4 linked regions of the Arabidopsis thaliana genome follow. The protein of the gene in region 1 interacts with the protein of each later gene in a pairwise test. Each region holds a gene or a part of one and is shown on either strand. Other genes may lie near its edges. The genes, in order: AT2G32840, PUB14, AT4G01090 and AT2G47710.

Region 1 (4,542 bases):
AGGAGGCTTTGGGGGATGTTTTCTTCGTCGTTGAGAGAGTGAGATCGACGTAGAACCATCGGCACAAGCTCCGGCTGAAAAGAAACAAGAGATGAGATGAGGAGAGAATGAATACTATGTTGGAGAGGAATAGAAGAGGAAGAGAAAGCCTCTCAATTTTTTGCTTATTTAGAGAGATGAAAAGAAAGAAGAAGATGTTAGCCACTATGGCATACTAGCTAGAAAAGACTTTGGGCAATATGGCATTTTCAGAACTACAGTGATGATAATATGGCTTCACTGTTGATAAAATCTTGTTTTAATGTCCATAGGAGTATTTGTGTCTTAGGAAGTCTTAGATTATGTAGTGATTTTAAGAGTTTTTGTGACATTTCGTATCATTTGGGAGTTGGAAACAAATAAGATAAAAGAAAATTCAAACACATGACTAAATGTGTTCGTGCTTCCAAGGATGGTCGATCAATCTCTGAAATTATGATCGTCCGACCACATGATGATCGATCCAGCGTTCAAAACATGGTCGACCCACCATGACCGAATACTATATTGAAAATTTTACTTGTCCAAGAACTACTAGGTGTTCTTGAAAAAAAAAAAAGATAAGAGCTATATAAGTTAACCATCTCAGAAAATCTTGAGATTGTTGATTAGTTTAGAATCATCTAATACGAGTGTATGACGAAAATTCAGAGAAAATCTTTCTTATATTACACACAGACATAAGACATAACTCTGGCTCTAAGATAATTTATGTCATTTCTAAATCAACTGCAAGTATATTCACACCGAAGTCCCTAACTTTAAAATCATTACTCGTTCCTGCATTGCTCTCCAAAGGGTGGCAGAAGAAGAGCCAATCTTGCCTTGTACCTCGCGATTCTCTTTAACCGTTCTTCTCTCAATCTGCAAACAAAACAAACCACACAATTTTGTTCAAAACAAAAAATATTCAATCTTCAACCATCGAACTTAGCTTTGATGATATGTTGTGGGACTCACCGAGCGCGGACCTTCTTAGCTCGGTCTATATGTCTTTTCAAAAGATCAGATTCTGACAAATGTTTCACAGATTCCTCGTCCTGAAGCTCATCAAGAGAGTTGAAGTAAATAATCAAACTTAGCTTTACCCTTCACAATTACCATTTTAGAAAGAAATCAGAGAAACACGAAACCTCTTTGTCTTCTTCGCAAATTGCTTCTTCAACTAAATCTTTTGGCAAACTTGTCTCCGTCTTGTCCACAGGTAAAGGCTTTGGCAAACATGTCATCATATCAATTCGCTGCGGCTGTAAACAACGTCATTAATCTTCCAAAGATATCAAGAATAGATATACAAAAATCCAAGTGTTGCATTATACTACAAAGCAGAAATAAGAAATGGATACGAACCTTAATTCCCTCATGAGCACCATTTCTCAACCAAGATCGACACAGCGAGTATAAAGAAGCTCCCTCGGTTATTCTAACCTGCAGAACAAATAAAAAGTATTTAAAATTCCTCAAATGGCGAAGCAAGCGGTTTCGAACGATAATGCAAAACCAAAAAACAAGGATAAAACTATACCTTTCTTTTTCTAACGAGGACCAGAGCATCATCCCGGCTCCTAAACACCATGGAAACGAAACAGAGACATTATTAAGTTTCTAGAGTAGTTTCTAATTAACAAAGCATAATGGCAAAGAAGATAAAGTACCTGGCCTTCTTATGCCCACTGTTGTCTAGAATTGAAGTTGGAGAAGGAGTAGCCTAACAATCAAAAATCCAAAATTTACAAAATGTAACCTCACACAAATATCTAACAGAAGTTTCAACCTTTCCTAATTCATTAGAGATTGCTATTCGAATTCTACAATCACCAAAGCAAATAATCTTCACTTCAACATACACATTTTCACTAACTAGCACAAGCTACAAAAAAAACACTTGACAAAACTATGGAATTAAACAAAAAGATTCAAACTTGTTTTGGTAACGAAAACGATAACTAACCCGAGGTTGCAAAAAATGAGGAACTCCTTTCATATGACCGGAACCAAGTTGAGGAGATTGTTGATTCTGAGGATGTGCAGCTCTCATGAACTGATTCATTGGATCCAAATTCGACACGAATTGGCCATGGTGGTATCCGTAAACTGGCCCTCGAGGAGTATACCCACCTGGACTAGGACTACCAACTGGATCAGCGACGGAATTGGAATTCTGTCTAACGGGTCGGGTCGGAAACCCTCGACCCGAAGAACCAAACGGGTATATCAGACTAGACGGGTCTGGGTGAGGAGGCTGATGAGGCGAATTAGTAACGGAATTCGAACGCCTAATCGGTAAAGGGTTAGTGTAGATATTTTGATGAGGATGATGACGATGAAGCGGAGCTATGGCTCTGTACGACGAAGCTGGTGTTTGAGGTTGAGGTTGAGACGACGGCGTTATGACTGTGTTAGGTTGTGTCACCGGAGATTCAGATGCGGTGACGATTGGAGTCGATACTGCTACAGAGACGGAAGGATTTGGATTTGGATTGGGATTGGGATCGGGAGTAGACATTGTTCCGGCGGATTTTGATTTCTGAGAAATTTGGGGAAAATCAAGTTAAAGACAACGATTCAAAATTTGGTAGCTTTTTCTTTGATTTTCAGGACACGAACTCTTTTTAAGTTCCTTCTAACTAACTAAACTAGGGCTCGGTATTTAATGTTTTGGTTCGGTTTTTTACTTTTTTCTACTCGGGTCCGGTTCAATGTGAGATTTACATTAACGAAAATTAATCCAGGATTTTAAAATGCTGATTTAGTTACGGCTGAAATCTTTTTGGGTAACATTTAAACCATAATGCAGCCATCGTATGGTTGGGTTCGGTATTAAATGTGACCTTAGTTCTAAGTTTCACAGAAAGAAGTGTAAGCTGTCTGAATCTTGAATTATTTATTTTTCCAATAATAATCCATAAGCTGAGATATCTGGCCACAGCTCAGAGAATGTGTAAAGTTTAAGACTCTACATAAAACATAATGGATATGGGTGGGGTATATTTAGCAGCAGCACAAAAACAGGGGATGATCATCATCTACAAAAAGATTCAAGATTCTGTAATGGCAGCAACATGAAGCTGTTGTTGTTGCATGAGGAAGAAATAGCAATGCGCATCTGAGTGAGTTTTAGAAGCCGGCCCATCCAGCAGGTTGAGCTGTTTTCTGGTTTTCTCTCATCTTTGAGTTCCCATATCTCTGTGAAGTGCTGTTTCCAGAGCCCATAGATCTTTGTGTTCCAGATGCAGAAGTAGCAGCTGCAGACGTTGCAGCGGCTCTAAAGGATTCTGTCTCGAAACCCCATGGCTCAAAACCTTGAGTACCTGCAGCAGAAGCTGGTTTACTTCTGGTTCTCACAGACTGATTAATCGTATTATTGTTACCCTTTGATGCAGATTCCATCACGGGTTTCGCTTCATCACTAAAAGGTTGCCATGAATTTGTATCAGAGCTGCCAGTTGACCAGTTAGATCTGTCCTGTTGAAGTTCCCACATTGTTCCTTCCATCTTATCTCTCTGTTTCATCAAGAACATTAGAATTCTAAGATATACATTGATGAAGACTTTTGTATGGGTGTCTAAGCTTAGATGAACAAGAACCAAGAATAATACCGATGGAGTTGATGACATGGAATGCATCCCTGGAGAGGGTTGATTTTGTGAAGAGTCTCTGCTCGGTGACGGTGAGGCACTTTTAGAGGCAAGTGTTTGTTTGAGATCCTGCAACTCTTGCCTTTGCGATCTGCAGATAGCAGAAAGCTTTTCAAACTTAGCAGTTATTTCTGCCTTCTCTGATTTTGTTTGCTTCAACTCGTCTTTTAACCTCTGTATCTCAGCTTCCAATGCCTCTTCTTTGCCAGGTTTATTACCATTATCGAACTTTGTGGTATCAAAGTCAGCAACAAACGAGTTGAAGGCATCATCCTTGGACACTCTTGTCATGTTATTGGCTGCAGCAGGAGTTGTATTCTTCTGAGAAATCGTAGTTTCAAGATCTTTATTTCTTTGAATACCACGAGCCTCTCCTCTCACAGGACTTGGTTTTTTGGGTTGATGACTATCCACACGAACTCTTTCAGATTTAGATGTGTTACTGTTTGGTTCATCAAATTTAGGCATGTTTTTGTTATCTTCTGATACAACTGAGGTTTTAGCATGCTGAGTCGCCCAAAAGGCACCGAGCGGTCCTCCACTATCTGATTCTCCAGAAGATGGTGGCGGCGGTGGCGGACTTCTACGAGGTGCTGGAGAAGGTTTAGTTGCTGATTTTGATGAGCCTGTCAAAATTCATAAGGATCAAAAGAAATCACATCTTTCTTTGAGAAGCTATCCAAAATAGGTTTTATTCACTATACCATCATGGACTCCAGTAGATTGCATTTCAGGTGGTCGATCCGGTAATGATTTCTGTAAATTAGCAGGAAGCTGCTCATTGACACGAAACCAAATCTGTAGATGGACATGTTGTTAGAGACATTTTACATTTCCTCAACTGAGAAGAAACAATGAGTAAAA
Region 2 (4,886 bases), on another chromosome or scaffold:
TGGAAGACGCTCAATTGTTCTTGTTGTCTTCATTGGAGGTGTAACATTTGCTGAAATCTCTGCTTTACGGTATCTCGCCTCTAAGGTATATATCAAACTTCAAAAGTTTACCATAAAAAAAACACTCTTTTTGTCCGCTGAATCCTCCATTCTTGCTTCTGCATAAAATTTTATCAGGAAGGAATGGCTTATGATTTGATTGTTGCCACAACAAAAATCGTCAACGGCGCAACGTTGATAGAAACATTCATGGAAAAACTAGGCTGATCCGTAAACTGAGCGTTATGTTCATCTTTTCTCTTTCGAGTGTGTTTATTAATTCATTTTTTGTATGTCTTTGTTTATTTTTCTGGATCATTGTGGTTGCAGAGTGAATGGTATGCGTATGTGTATGTGTATATTAAATGGTTGAGATACAGCGTGATTATACAAATTCAATAATGTTTTCTTGGTACAACCTTTCACTTCAACTTCTGCTAGTTATATACGGCTTTACTTCTCCCTAATTCTCAAGCAAATCGAGAGTGTGAAACAGTAAATAATAGGGTTACTTTTACTTTTAAATATCAAATAGATATACACAACTCTGAGTCGAAAATTACATATAACATCATTACATAAGATTCTTATGTCAGACTCAAACCAAAGGTTCCTATACATATAATCTACACTGAAACAAATAACATTCCAAAAGAGCGAGGCTTTCATGGAACAGTAGTTACTGCAACACCTTCGGTTTGCTGAATAAGCTCCAACAAGCTCGCAGCTTTCCTCTTTGCTCTATCAGTGCCATTCTCAGTAAGTTCCTTCAAGGCCACATCTGCACCAACCTCTCTTGCTACATTTAGCCTTTCTATATTCCCAATACATAGATACCAAAGTATTGCTGCAGCATTTTCCCGGTTCCTTGGTGACCCTGTCCTTATAATCTCAACCAAAACCGGGATAGATTCTGCTTCAGCTATCGCTGTTTTCCCTTCTTGGTTAGTTGAAAGAATTGCTAAAATGGCCAGAGCCTCATCCACCATTCCGCCACCTGCATCTTTCAGTAATCTGGTCAGAGGGTCAACAATACCGCCTTTAACCGCCCTTGATTTGTTCCCCTGGTATATGCATAAGTTGAAAATCGCTGTAGCAGCATCTTTTTTGCCTCTTCGGGTTCCTTCCTCAAGCAAGCTTATAAGTGCTTGGATAGCTCCAGCAGCACCTATTGCCACTTTGTTTTCATCTATAACAGATAAACTGAAAAGGGTTGCAGCAGCGTTCTCTCTAGCTTCCATGCTTCCGTTCTTTAGGACTTCTACTATATCCGTTATGGCTCCTGCATCAACAATGGCTCCTTTGTTCCCTTCATTTATGGAAAGATTCAGAAGAGCTGTCACAGAATGTTCCTGAGTCCGAGGATCTGGTGAGGATAGAAGCTCTACAAGGAGTGGTATGGCTCCAGCCTCAGCGATACAAACTCTGTTATCCACGTTCCTCTTGGCTAGTAACCTTAATTCTCCAGCTGCAGCTCTTTGCTGTTCTGTAGTACCGTTGGCCAATTTCTCTAACAAGGAAAGGACAAATGTTCGATCACAATCTGAAGAGCTGCTTCCTCCTATTTTTGTGGTTCTACAGCTCCCTTGATTTTGCGGTAGCTCAATGCCGTTGCTTTCACACCACAAAGCAATGAGACTCTTTAACACATAATTAGGGGTTAATCCAGCATGTAAAAGTGTCTCCTGAGATTTCGGACATGTTTTATGACCAGCATCAAGCCACTTCTGAATTGATGATCTTTCATATGTCTGCAAGGTCGAAAAATTCAGCTATAACAACAAATACACAAGTTTAATAATCAAATTCACTACAATGCACAACGAAACTTGCAAAGCCAGACCTGTCCAGTGGAGACGATAACAGGATCCTTCATCAGTTCAAGTGATATCGGACACCGAAAATACTCTGGTATAACAGGAGAACGATGTCTCGAAACGATTCTGCTGCCAGTGGATGGATCAGGGTCTGAACTTTCCATTGTTACAAAGTCTACCAGGTTTTTAAGAAGTGAAGACATCCTCTCGAAACAGTCATCAGGATCTCCATCATATGAAAGAAAATACTCATGTATCGCATGCGATTCTTTCTTCAGCTCATCAATGGTAGTAAGTTGGAGCTCTTGTGAAAGTCTTTTGAGGATTATAGGGTCAGGATCCATCACATTCTCTGCCATAGCTAGATCATGGCTAAGCTGTAGATCAGACTCCTCCCATCTTTCTTTTGCTCTCTTGAACTGAAAATGCAGAAGCTGAACCTACAAATTCAGAGAGCTTATCATTAGAATTCAGATTTTAATCAACAGAAAAATATAGCCCTCCTTAAATCAATGCATTGAGAAGTACCTGTTCTCTGACTTCCTCTGATACCTCAATCTTCTCATAAGGAATCTGACTTAACGCTGCTTCTATCTCCACTGTCATGTCACGGAACTTCTCCACAAGAGAATCTCTATCGAAAAGCTGCCAGCAGAGAGAACACGAAAAAGGTCTCAACTTCTTGTTATCAGACTCAATTTGATTCATCCCAAAATAAGAGAAACAAGACAAAACCCAAATTCTTGATATTGTTAAAGAAGACAAAGACAAACAACAAAACCCTAAACACCAAAATCTTAAACCCTCGAAGAGAAAACAAAGGAAATTGCCAACTTTTGCCAGCTACCAAAGATATAAATACAAATAAAACAGAGCAAGTAAATGAGTAACCTGAAAAAGCTTGCTTCCTCCATTAACCGATCGAAAAAGCTCAAGACTTGAATCAAGAGCGATTCTCATAGCCTCAAACCCTGTAATCTGATCCTTTTTCAATTCAACATTGACGTCAATCAATTCCTCGAAGAAAGGGCTGAGAAGCGTGATCCTACGAACAAGATCGCCTTGGATCTTCCCAATAAAACCCCTTGAAGATGAAAACCCTGATATTTCTTTAACGGAGTCAACGAGTCGACTCATTAGCTCCTCGTGGGAACAACAATTCGTTAATCCCATCCCTCAGATTTTACTGTTCCAGAGGGCTTCAAAAGGGTTTTAACGAAACCAAGACGAGGAAGAAGAAACCCAAAAAACCAAGAGGAGGAACAGAAATGCTATGGAACGAAATAGTCTTCTCATCAACGTGACAATAAACACCTATTTGGACATGAAAAGTCTCATTTTGTCCATTTTCAGACCAATCATAATTTTTTCTATTTTATTTTGCCGTTAAATTTTAATATTTAAACATTGCATTTAGATTTTCATATTTATTTATTGCCTCAACTATAAATTTATGATATTAAGGTTGACCAATACAAATATATAAAGTTTTTAAGTTTGTATTTGCATCTGAAATCATCAAAAGTCAAATCCTTTGTATAATGGATTTCTCTACCTGTTTGTTAGTCTCTTTGAAATTGTCAAATAATTTCTTGATTTAGGTTTTGTTAGAATTGGCTGCAATAGTCTCTCCCACAAACTATACATGCATTGAATCATTTGAATGAAGCTTTACTCTTCTCTACTTCTGATGAATCCCACTAAAATATGTACTGATGATCCATTGCTTGATATAACTTGGGTTTCCACTTTTGAGGTTCGTAATATCCCCAGTTTCAAACTCAAATCTTCACATTATACAACACACTTGACTTAACAGATAGAGAAATATTGTTTTGAAACATTACATTAAAAAGTATGGAAAGATTAGTAGTCTGAAGACATGGCTGAAGATGAGATGATTCAACACTCCAATCATGACGAAGGAGCAGGACGAGGTAGCCTCTTGCCAATTTCCTATCAGACATGTGTACACTACAACAAGTTAAAATCTCATATACTTCGTATTAATCCATCTTTCTGCATCCAAAACTATTATCCTCCACAAACTACAAGAAATTAAATCTCATATCTAGCTGCATATCACTGCCTATCACTTTTCCATCCTCCAATTCCAAAGCAATGAAAGAAACGGATAATAAGATCTCAATAAATGCAGAGGACAAGAAAATCGATCATAAATCAGAGGCAAGAAAGAAGTGCACACCTCAAACAGTTGATTTATGTTATCGGCTGTCTTGGCTGACGTCTCAATGAAGAACATGCCGTTCTTCTCTGCAAGCTCCATTCCATCCTGTTAAGAAATTGAAAATGTGATACCACTGAAGAAGCAAGGACAATGAAAGTGACAACAAAATGCGCTACGGAATCTAGATGAAGACGTTTACGCAAACTCACCTCAGTAGGTACTTCTCTTTTTTCATGTAGATCAGCTTTGTTACCAACCAGAGCCATAACAATATCTGGGCTTCCATGCTTTTGCAGTTCCTGTTAGATTTATGGGCAGGGGTAAAACAATAGCACTAGATTCAATATAATGTTGATATCTTTCCTGCACGGAGTTGTGCCAAATGGCTTCATGGTAGCAACGAGTGCAAATTAATGGAACAAAAATGTCAGAGAAGTAAACCAGTTGCCCAACTAAATGATACCCATTATATACACAGACAGGAGTGCTGTTGGCTATATGACTGTCTGTAACTCTAATTTTCAGTCCTGGTAAAGATATAGCTCGGAAGCTATTGCACGAATCCTAGAAACATGAACGAAATGGAACCTTTTGAACCCCCTGAAAACATACCTTAACCCAATACTGTGCTTTCTTGAACGATTCAGGGCTTGTTATATCATACACAATAACAGCAACTCCAGCTCCACGGTAGTATAGTGGTGCAAGAGCAGAATACCTAAAAATAAAGTGAATGCAGGTTAAATCCTAGTAAGTTTGCAAAGCGTTTATCTAATAAAATAAGCAATACAAATCTGCATGAAGGGTTTAATACCTCTCCTGTCCTGCTGTATCCCATATTT
Region 3 (5,536 bases), on another chromosome or scaffold:
TATCTTTTTGTTCTTACTCTAATTTTGTATTTTTCTAAGAAATATTGAAACATGAAAACTAAACGAACGGACCACGAGGCCTGTTAAGAACAGATTCTCTTTCTTGTTTGATATTGATATTGATATTGGGCCCATGAGTAAGTTATAATCTGTTGTCTTGTATTTTAGGAAGGACCCACTTCAGAAACGTGCAAAAACTAGTCCATCAGCCAAGAGAGGAATTAGCAGACAATATGAACATTTTAGTGGAAAGAAAGATGAAACCGGATAACTAACCGATAGATAGATAATCCCAATCCATAATTCACCTAGAACTCGAGGAAAGGGCAAATCAAGCCTAGAAGCTAATCATGAAGAAAGAAAGATCAGCTAGGAGAACATTGTTTAATTGAATTGTTGAGTATGGTCGAATGACCTACATATATTGTTGCTGACATGAAAGAAACCTACAAACCAAAACCGGTTTAAATAAACGATTTAGTTAAACCAGAGATAATAAGGAATTAGGAGGAGTAAACCATGTTATCGATGAAGCTTCTGTTACAACTTACAAAAGAGCAATAAAAGAGATAAAAAAAAAAGTCATTAAGAGCAAACTAATATCATTCCATAAAAAAATGGAAATAATACAAAGCACAAACCTTGTACCGAGAGAACCCGGTTTGTATACAGTCTATAACCCCTAAACCGGTTCTGGTCGCAATAAAAAACATACAGACATTTCCCCAAAGATATTTTAAAAAGAATACCAAAAATCAAAATCAAGATGTAAAAAACACTTTACAGTTGTGTTTAACAAATAAATAATATGAAGATGGAAACAAGAAGCAGAATCATATTTTGGTTGTGTAGTTGTTACTAGGGGGAGTTTTCATGAAGCTAATGATCTTGGAACTCTCATACCAAATCCATGCTTCACTTTCTCAATCCTGTTTCAAGTTTAACACACTAAAACTTTAGAATCTTAGGTGATCTCAAAATCTCAAAAGAATAAAAATCATTTGTGTGAATCTGCTTACGTTGGGGCTAATTTGCCAAGGCTGTGAAGTTCTTCTCCTGAATCTTGATCAAGGATTCTTCCTGATATATCAACAATGTAAGAACGGTTCTTGTCTCTAGGCAGACCACGACCCACAAGTAACTCGAAATCTCTCTTGTGAAGCTCTCTTCCATTCACAAACACGTCTGTGTTTCCTGCAGCGCAGTTATCCAGCATTGGATGGCTAAACTCTTCAATAAATGGCTGCAACAACAACAAGTAAGTCAACCATTTCTTCATCAATTTGATGACACCATTCCAATAATCAACTTGAGAGAACAATGTGAAGGTACTTACAGGTATTATACCGAGACACGGTTTGCCCATCACTCCCCAGAACCCAGCTCGGTAATCATACCTGAATCAGAGACATGTATCAGAAACTGAGTAAAGGGAAAAACAAAAACAAGAGAGAAACAGTGGATGCTGAAGTTCATGGAAGTACCAATACTTTCCAGCTTGGATTGGTCCAGCTAATTTCTCAGCACTGCTAACAAGATCTTCTGGTATAAGATGTCCATTAACCCAAACCTCTAATGACTTCATCTGGTCTTCGTTTTGATCAGTAGAGGACCTCGTTGTGATCTCTGTCGAACCGTACTCACTACCCTTTCTGTTTGAGTACCTTGAATCTTCTGAGATCTCGGTGTTAGAGTATCCATTGTAAGAAACCTCTGTCTCTGTAGCTACTGATTCTGGTTTCAGCGAGTCCTGTGTCATGAAAGACTTTTGCTTATCTGGCTTTTCATAACCTAACTGCGCCATTCCATAAGCGAGTGCAGCTCTGTTTACATTAGAATACTCAAAAAGTTCAAGGAGACTGGCATTATCAGGAGCAGCGGGTTCAGGTGCTTTTGACCCTTTACCTCGCCGACGAACAGATTTGACCTCCTTCTGTTGTTGTTCACTAGAATTGCTCGATCTTTCTTCATCATCTGAGTGTTGAGATTCAGAGCGGACGCTTTGCGTAGTAATAGTATCCTGATGATTTCTCAGTTCTTGCACTGGTTCTTCTTCATCCTTACGTGGAATATCTCTACCTGAGCTGTTGAAATCAACAGAAGAGACTTCCTCCTCTATCACTACTGTGTTTGTTGTGTTTCTATCTTCAACCTCTAGAGAGACCGGTTTTGTTTCCTCATTACCAGAAGAGAAAACGAGTTTCCTATCAACGATTGTGAAACTAATAACTTCAGAACAAGCACCGCACTGCAGCTTATGTAACCTTTCCTGAGACAAAAGCTTCTTCTTAGGCAAGTAAAGCAGCTCAAAGCAACTATGACAAGCTATAAAAGGAGCACCACCAGCAAGAGGATGACAACGTCGAACACCAGTATCCGATACAGCTTTCTTAACATACCCACGAGCAAAAGCACCGCCCATTTCAGAATCATGTTCACTCGGCCACCTTGCATAACCACCTCGAGGACCTGGAGTGCCCATCGAAGAAGGAAAACTCGAACCGTTATTAACACGTGGACTATACGGTGTCGTGAGTTTCTCGCCACGATGGTGAGACGAAACCGGGCTATACGGAGGCATATCACTGTACTGTGTAGCGAGTTTCTCTTCACGATGGTGAGACGAAACCGGGCTATACGGAGGCAGGTCACCGTACCTACCAGGAGTAGCTGGATAGTAAGAATGTGGCTCAACTATATCAGGACCAAGTTCAACATATTGACCTCCAGGATACTGACGAGCCATCTGATTAGGGTAATGACCAGGAGGATACCAGTTTGGATTAGGAACTGGAGGTGGTCTTCTTTGGTACCCATAAGGATCTTGATAAGCTTGAGGATACATTCCATGAACCGGTCCAGGGTATTGAATAGGTTCTGGATACTGATGGTAATAAGAAGGACCAGGATTATGATTAGCATGACCATGAAGATGAACTGGTCTAAGGAAAGGCTGATTCTGATCTGGTTCTTTAGGTTTATCAACTACATTATTACCACCACCACCACCGCGAAGTAGATGATCTTTGATAGAATCTAACCTTCTTAAAAGCTCAGCTCGTTCATGCTCTGTATACTCAATAGGGTTGTTGCTGCTGCTTGTGTTCTTAGATGAAGAATCTGATCCGTAATTAGGCTCGTCATTTCTCAAGCTTTTTCCAGATCTTTGAGACCCAGCTCGCGAATTTGAGTGTTTCTCCTTCAGACTCGTTTCTTCTTCGCTTCTTGAAGAACCAGCATCTGATCTCGTACCTTCTGCTTCAGAGACATCGCCTCGCGACCTCATCAGCCACTATTTCTAGGGTTTTGCTTTGTTTTTTTCCAACTGCGATTCAAATCAAAAAAGTTTCGATTTTTTATCAAATTCGAACTCAAAAACATATATCTCCGATTGAATTCAGATAAAACGAAGAACCAACAGGTAGAAATCAAACGAACCGTGAAGAATGTCGTCGGCGATATAGGTGAGAAGACGAATTTGATGATCTTCTCCGGTGGGAATAAATGAACCAATCTCTATGATGCAACCAATTTTCTAAAAAGGGGTTTTTGGAAAGAAAATTCAGAAGAATTAAAAGTCTTCTTCAATTGCTTCTTGGGGGATTAAATGTCTGCTTACTTACTACCAAACTTGAGCTGGAAGGTTTAAGCAACAATTAACATTATTATGTTAATTTTCTTCTAGCGTTTTTCCTTGGCTTTCCCGGGAATCTTAAGGGAAAGACAAAAGAAAATTTGATGAATAGATTTGAAAACTTAAGGAGGGGAAGAAGATGGAAGCAAAAAATCAAACTTTGTTAGCGTTGATTTGATATTCGTTTTTTAAAACTTTTGAGTAAAGAAGAGATGAGCGCGTATGTAATGTAAGTAAGCGCGTGAAACTAGAATTTAGACTGTAGTACGGTTGAGCGGACCGGGTCTCGTTGACTCGCAGATAAGGAGACTAACCAAATTATTACTAAAATATACGAAATCTAGAAACATGAGTGTGACTGTTTACCGACAGGTAAATTAATACGTTCTCAGATATCGCAATTTTCCAAATTTGTGAACTTAATTACTAAGAACAATTCAATTACTCGGGAAAAAAACATTCAAATTTAGAACTTACGATTACTAGTAGTATTTGATTTTTCAATATATGCCAATAAGCAGCAATAGTTATTTTCTAAAACTAAGACGACTTCCTATTTTCGTACTTTTGTGAGTGTGTTTGTACGAAAACAGACCAGCTAGTCAAATGAAATTATACATTGAGCAACCTTTTTTATATCAATAATACTAGGTCTGGTCATTCGGGTATCCCTATCTGTTTGGTTCTTTTTTGGATATCAAATCTATTCGGATATGAAGAGGTTGAGAACCATTCAGATATTCTAAAAACTTGGTTCGATTTTGGTTCGGATTCGGATCGGTTCGGTTGTTTTAGTAAAAATATAAAAATAACCAAAAATATCAATAATATTTTCAGATATTATTATAATAACCAAAAATACCCAAATATTATTATAATACAATTAAAAAGTAAATAAAAATAGGAAAATATCACTTTATATGCTCAGAAGACTGAAAAATTAGGTGTAGGAATTGTGGACTATTTCAACAGTAAAAGAACTAATGAAGTTACTTTATTATTCTTCTGTATTTTTCTTTTTTTTAATTAAAGTCTCATATATTGTTTTGTTACTAAATATTTTCATTGTTATCATCAGGTTAACCTCGTTAACAATTATTAGTAAATATTATGTATAAATTATCCGTTACAGTAAACATTATTCATGTATCGAATATCTTAACGTTTTCATATAAATATTATTCTGTTATATAATATATTAGCATGTTATCATTCTATATATCATGTAGTTATAATTATTATCATGTTAATTATATAAAAAAGTCTAATTTCCTTTTATTGTGCTGAATATACATAAATAAAAAATTCTGATTTACAATTTTAAATCGATAAATATGTTTTAACAAATAATTTATAAACTTATCGCGATATCATAGTTTTTAAAACATTAAACAAATAATTATATACTTATCATCCGAATATTACAATTATTTTTATTCAATAGCATTTTTGTAATTAATTTTTTTAAAAAAAATTTTTTGGTTTATATATTATTTATCTTTCATACTTACCTAAATAACTAATATTTATATATAAATTCTTTATTTTTTCATCATCCTCCCAGCATATCGATTAATATAGTCCATAAAAATACGTCAAGTTTAATGCTTCCATGTTAGAAGACGTGCTCTCAAAACTTCTTCTTTTGTTTGTTTTCTAATTCACAACTTGAATCTAAAAGAAACCTGGATCCTAAACGTTGAAAAATATTAACCTCGTAAACGAAGACTTGAAAGATATATGGGGAGTGTTATATGATCACATAGTGTAGGTCGCCTTCTGACTATTTTTGTGGTTTATACAAAAAGCTACGTACAGCTGTAAAGTCTTCTACTCTGTGTCTCTGTCTATCATTTAAAGATGGATTTATAGATAGTCCACTTTCCAACACCAATCAGATTT
Region 4 (3,616 bases), 5.6 Mb from region 1:
ACTGGTGACCACATTGGAGCTTAGCCTTGGATCTGGTACCATCATCGAGCACCGATTCGAGGCAAATCGAGCACGAGACTTCGACAGGAGACGAGGAATCCTCCGGGTTCCCGCGTTTTCCAGGGTCACATCCACCAGCAATTCGGAGATCATCATCGCAACCCGAATCTTTAGCTCCGGCCATATCTTCACCAGCAGGCCAAATCGGAGGGAACCAACGAAAATTTTCGTTTTTCGAAAGAACAAAAAAAAAGAAAAGAAAGGATTGTCAAACAAAAATCAATGAGAAACCATGTCTCGCTATCGCTATCTGTCTCTCCGAGTTCGTCTGCCTTTTGGAACGCCGATGCGGTAAATCTATCCTTCCTCTTCCTCTCTCTCTCTCTCTCTCTCTCGTCCGACCTGTTAGAGATGACGTGGTTCAAAACCGGACAATGACATTGGACTCTCCCTTTTCTTTTCTTTCCTCTCCCATTGTGGATAATTTTTTATTATTATTTTATTACTTTAGTTTTGGATAGATGATCATCAAACCATCCATCCATCTGAACCAACAACCAAACTATAAATTTGTTCATTTAAATCATTAATCTCTATTTAGTTGATTTGTTTTCTTCTCTAGTCTCTTTCATATGAAGTTTATTATAACTTTCACATCCATTTTGTTATGAGAAAGATTAGCATATTATAACACACGAATATTGATTGTCTAAGGATACCAAAACATTGTATGTAGTAAACAATTACACATATAGATGCAAATGTATATTGTCTTGAATCGTTGTTTCACATCAAGCTAATATTATTTCACTTTATTCTTCTGAATTAGAAGACTATGCAGAGACTTTGCTTTGACCGAGTAGCCTTCCCTTAGGTTTCAGACCTTGATCTTAGGCTTCTTCACGATCATCACCGAGCAATGAGCATGATGAGCGCAGTAGTCACTCGTACTCCCGAGAACCGCCCTGCCACACAAACCGACAAGTGAATCAGAATGGGTGTATAGTTGAAAGATTGATCATAAGAATTAAGGCTGAATGAAATAATACCTCTTGATAGCTCCATATCCATGGCTTCCCACAACAAGAATAGAAGCATGATGCTTATCTACAACTTCACATAGGATATTCCTTGCATCACCTTCGAAAACTTCGATCACCGCGCCATGAACCTACACAACAAACCTAGGAATGATGATTGAAAAGAAGAAGATAGTTGCTAACCAAAGATAGATAGTTACTATAAGAAAAACCAGTGCTACTTAGCTTGAAGCTCTTAAATGTGCTAGAGATTCACATTCACATTACCAAACTCATCTAATAGAGTCCAATACAACACATGATGACGATTATAAAATCCAAGAAACACATAAAACGAATTTGAATGTTTGATAATAGCAAGATCGTACCGATCTGCTCTGACAAATTGCTTTGGCTTTCTCGACAACCTTAGCAGCGGTATGCTTCAGATCAGCATCAACATAAGGTACAACCTCCGCAGTTCCTAAAACACACAGATTAACAAAACCTAAATGATCTCTCCCCATCGCTGCCCAAAACAGAACCCCTAGAAGAGTAGATTCGAGAGTGAAAGCAAAGAGCGTACCGGGACCAGCGAGACCAACGGCGGAGACGGCGTTAGGTTTGGCGTGGACGATGAAGAGCTTAAAAGGATAATTGGGAGCGTAAGGAGCGAAGAAACGATCGAGCGTCCACTCCAAGGCGTAAGTGCTCTGCTCGCTGTCGTCAACTCCGACGACCATCACCGATTTCCCATCTCCGGTGGCCATGACTCTGACGTTGTTCGCCGGCGTGAAGAAAACGCGCTCTTGTGTTTGTGGTAGAAAGAAGCCTAGAAGAATCCTCCAAAGTGTTTGCACAGAAAAAGAGAGTTTTGGTATCTTCTTCTTCTATTATTTAATTTCTTTAAATAAAAAGAAAAGAGGAATGTGATACTTTGATTTGATGACGTGGCTGGTCCTCATTTCTTTATGCCTTTCCATTAGTAAATTTCCCAATATTTAAAGTTACCCACAGATTTTAAATAAGAAGAACCCACAGATTTTACACAAAATTTATTCTAATTTGAATATTACCCATAAAACAAAGTACATAAAAGGATTTTGCAGGTTAACAGTTATTAGCTTTTTAGTAACAAACTGATATGAATTGGTTTGATAACTTTCGATTTTACTTGGAAATTAACTATTACAAGAAAAATCTAATTTCAAATAGTGGAATGATTTGAGTTGGGTAAAATCCGGCTCAGATGATAACAATTACAAAATAAAAATGAGACGGCCGGCTGTAGAATAATATGACGACGTGAAGCAAAAGCAGGAGTGCGACAGAAACCTCTCTAACCAAATTGCTTTTAGTTATATTCTTCTTCGTCTTGACGCTACTCTTTACCTTTTTTTATCTGATTTCAGATTTCTCCAGAATCTTCAGATTCCCATGGCCACTGTTCATGTTGTCGGTCTGAAAATCAATTCTGGATCTCCAGGGAAGGACACATCCCGAAAGGCACCTGATGCAATTCATGCTGCTTTATCACCGTCATCATCTCTATCATTACTCAGAGGTACATATACCTTAAACCCCAAACCAGTTTCTCCGTAGCATTTTGAGACGTCATCATTCTTATCTATCATCAAACCTTGCTCTTTGTCCATATAGGAGTGTTACCAAAGTATTTCAGCTCAGAGTTGTCAGTGGCTCAGTTCCGGTTGGTCGAAGGATCTTAATACATAGTGGCATTTGGACATGAGAAGAACACAGATTCTTGGGATGGATGGGAGGTAAGAGAACCATACCCTAACCTTAATAATGTCCTACAAGTCGGATCAGCAGCTTTGTTTGATTTTTGGGTGTTTTGCAGCTTCTACAAAGGCCAGTTTTGATCCAGTACACGGAGGAGAGATGTCTCAGCTCGAGTATCATAACTGTCTGAAGCCGCCTTCTGTGTTTTGAAACAACAAGTCAGCATTCTCTTACTTCCTTTATATATATTAATCTTGTTGAGATTCTGGATTTTAGGCTTGTGTCTTTGGTAACATATGTGGTTTCCGGTTAGTTATGGAATTGTCGGTCAATCTCGAGGCAAGAAGAGAGAGTATGTATATATGTAAATGTTGAACCACTAATCACTTAATGATTATTTAGTTAATTACGTTGGATCTCATATTGAGAATACTATTTTGCATATATATTTTTCTGAAAAAAACAACAAAAAGAAAGGTCAACATTACAAGAGTAAAATTGCATATGAAGAGAGTGATAATGAAAGTTCAAGTGTTTGTTTCTGAATTCTTGACATGTATATAATCACCATATAACTGTTTCCAAATTGTAGATGGTAATGCAAAAATCTGATGAGGAGGGAGATGGTTCTGTTTCCAGCAACTAGATTTAGTTATAACATAAGGGGATTGATTATTGTTATTGTTATTGATCCTTCTTCTCCTGTTGAATTGGATTGAGAGTTAGTTGGTCAAAAGGTGTTATGGGTTTTAGAAAATTAATAAAAACAGGTGGGCTTTGTCTGTACATGTCCTTAAATTATTTGTTTTGGGAGTAGTTTAATATCGAATGATACGTTTACACGTAAAAAGTCT

The links.
Region 2: the proteins of AT2G32840 (region 1) and PUB14 interact in a two-hybrid assay, tested with the Arabidopsis thaliana proteins (one large-scale study listed by BioGRID).
Region 3: the proteins of AT2G32840 (region 1) and AT4G01090 interact in a two-hybrid assay, tested with the Arabidopsis thaliana proteins (one large-scale study listed by BioGRID).
Region 4: the proteins of AT2G32840 (region 1) and AT2G47710 interact in a two-hybrid assay, tested with the Arabidopsis thaliana proteins (one large-scale study listed by BioGRID).

The regions. Positions count from the first base shown.
Region 1 is NC_003071.7:13,932,292-13,936,833, forward strand, and holds AT2G32840 (proline-rich family protein), read right to left. Parts: upstream 2,659-4,542; 5' UTR 2,546-2,658; coding exon 1,991-2,545; intron 1,748-1,990; coding exon 1,695-1,747; intron 1,605-1,694; coding exon 1,565-1,604; intron 1,468-1,564; coding exon 1,390-1,467; intron 1,287-1,389; coding exon 1,173-1,286; coding exon of another isoform or gene 1,137-1,172; exon of another isoform or gene 1,080-1,136; coding exon 1,000-1,079; intron 904-999; coding exon 810-903; 3' UTR 548-809; downstream 1-547. Other genes in the region: AT2G32850 (Protein kinase superfamily protein), read right to left, coding at 3,157-3,543, 3,640-4,304, 4,383-4,476.
Region 2 is NC_003074.8:20,319,667-20,324,552, reverse strand, and holds PUB14 (plant U-box 14), read right to left. Parts: upstream 3,201-4,886; 5' UTR 3,030-3,200; coding exon 2,748-3,029; intron 2,502-2,747; coding exon 2,385-2,501; intron 2,297-2,384; coding exon 1,883-2,296; intron 1,791-1,882; coding exon 705-1,790; 3' UTR 533-704; downstream 1-532. Other genes in the region: ATVPS33 (Sec1/munc18-like (SM) proteins superfamily), read left to right, coding at 1-85, 178-267; ARA6 (Ras-related small GTP-binding family protein), read right to left, coding at 3,771-3,812, 4,063-4,149, 4,254-4,343, 4,657-4,762, 4,859-4,886. UniProt on the Arabidopsis thaliana protein: Functions as an E3 ubiquitin ligase with specific E2 ubiquitin-conjugating enzymes. Undergoes auto-ubiquitination.
Region 3 is NC_003075.7:469,963-475,498, forward strand, and holds AT4G01090 (hypothetical protein (DUF3133)), read right to left. Parts: upstream 3,918-5,536; 5' UTR 3,439-3,917; intron 3,326-3,438; 5' UTR 3,287-3,325; coding exon 1,485-3,286; intron 1,398-1,484; coding exon 1,337-1,397; intron 1,244-1,336; coding exon 1,020-1,243; intron 930-1,019; coding exon 872-929; 3' UTR 544-871; downstream 1-543.
Region 4 is NC_003071.7:19,554,168-19,557,783, forward strand, and holds AT2G47710 (Adenine nucleotide alpha hydrolases-like superfamily protein), read right to left. Parts: upstream 1,960-3,616; 5' UTR 1,790-1,959; coding exon 1,606-1,789; intron 1,504-1,605; coding exon 1,409-1,503; intron 1,172-1,408; coding exon 1,050-1,171; intron 966-1,049; coding exon 878-965; 3' UTR 557-877; downstream 1-556. Other genes in the region: RFI2 (RING/U-box superfamily protein), read right to left, coding at 1-184; AT2G47720 (uncharacterized protein), read left to right, coding at 2,457-2,583, 2,881-2,972.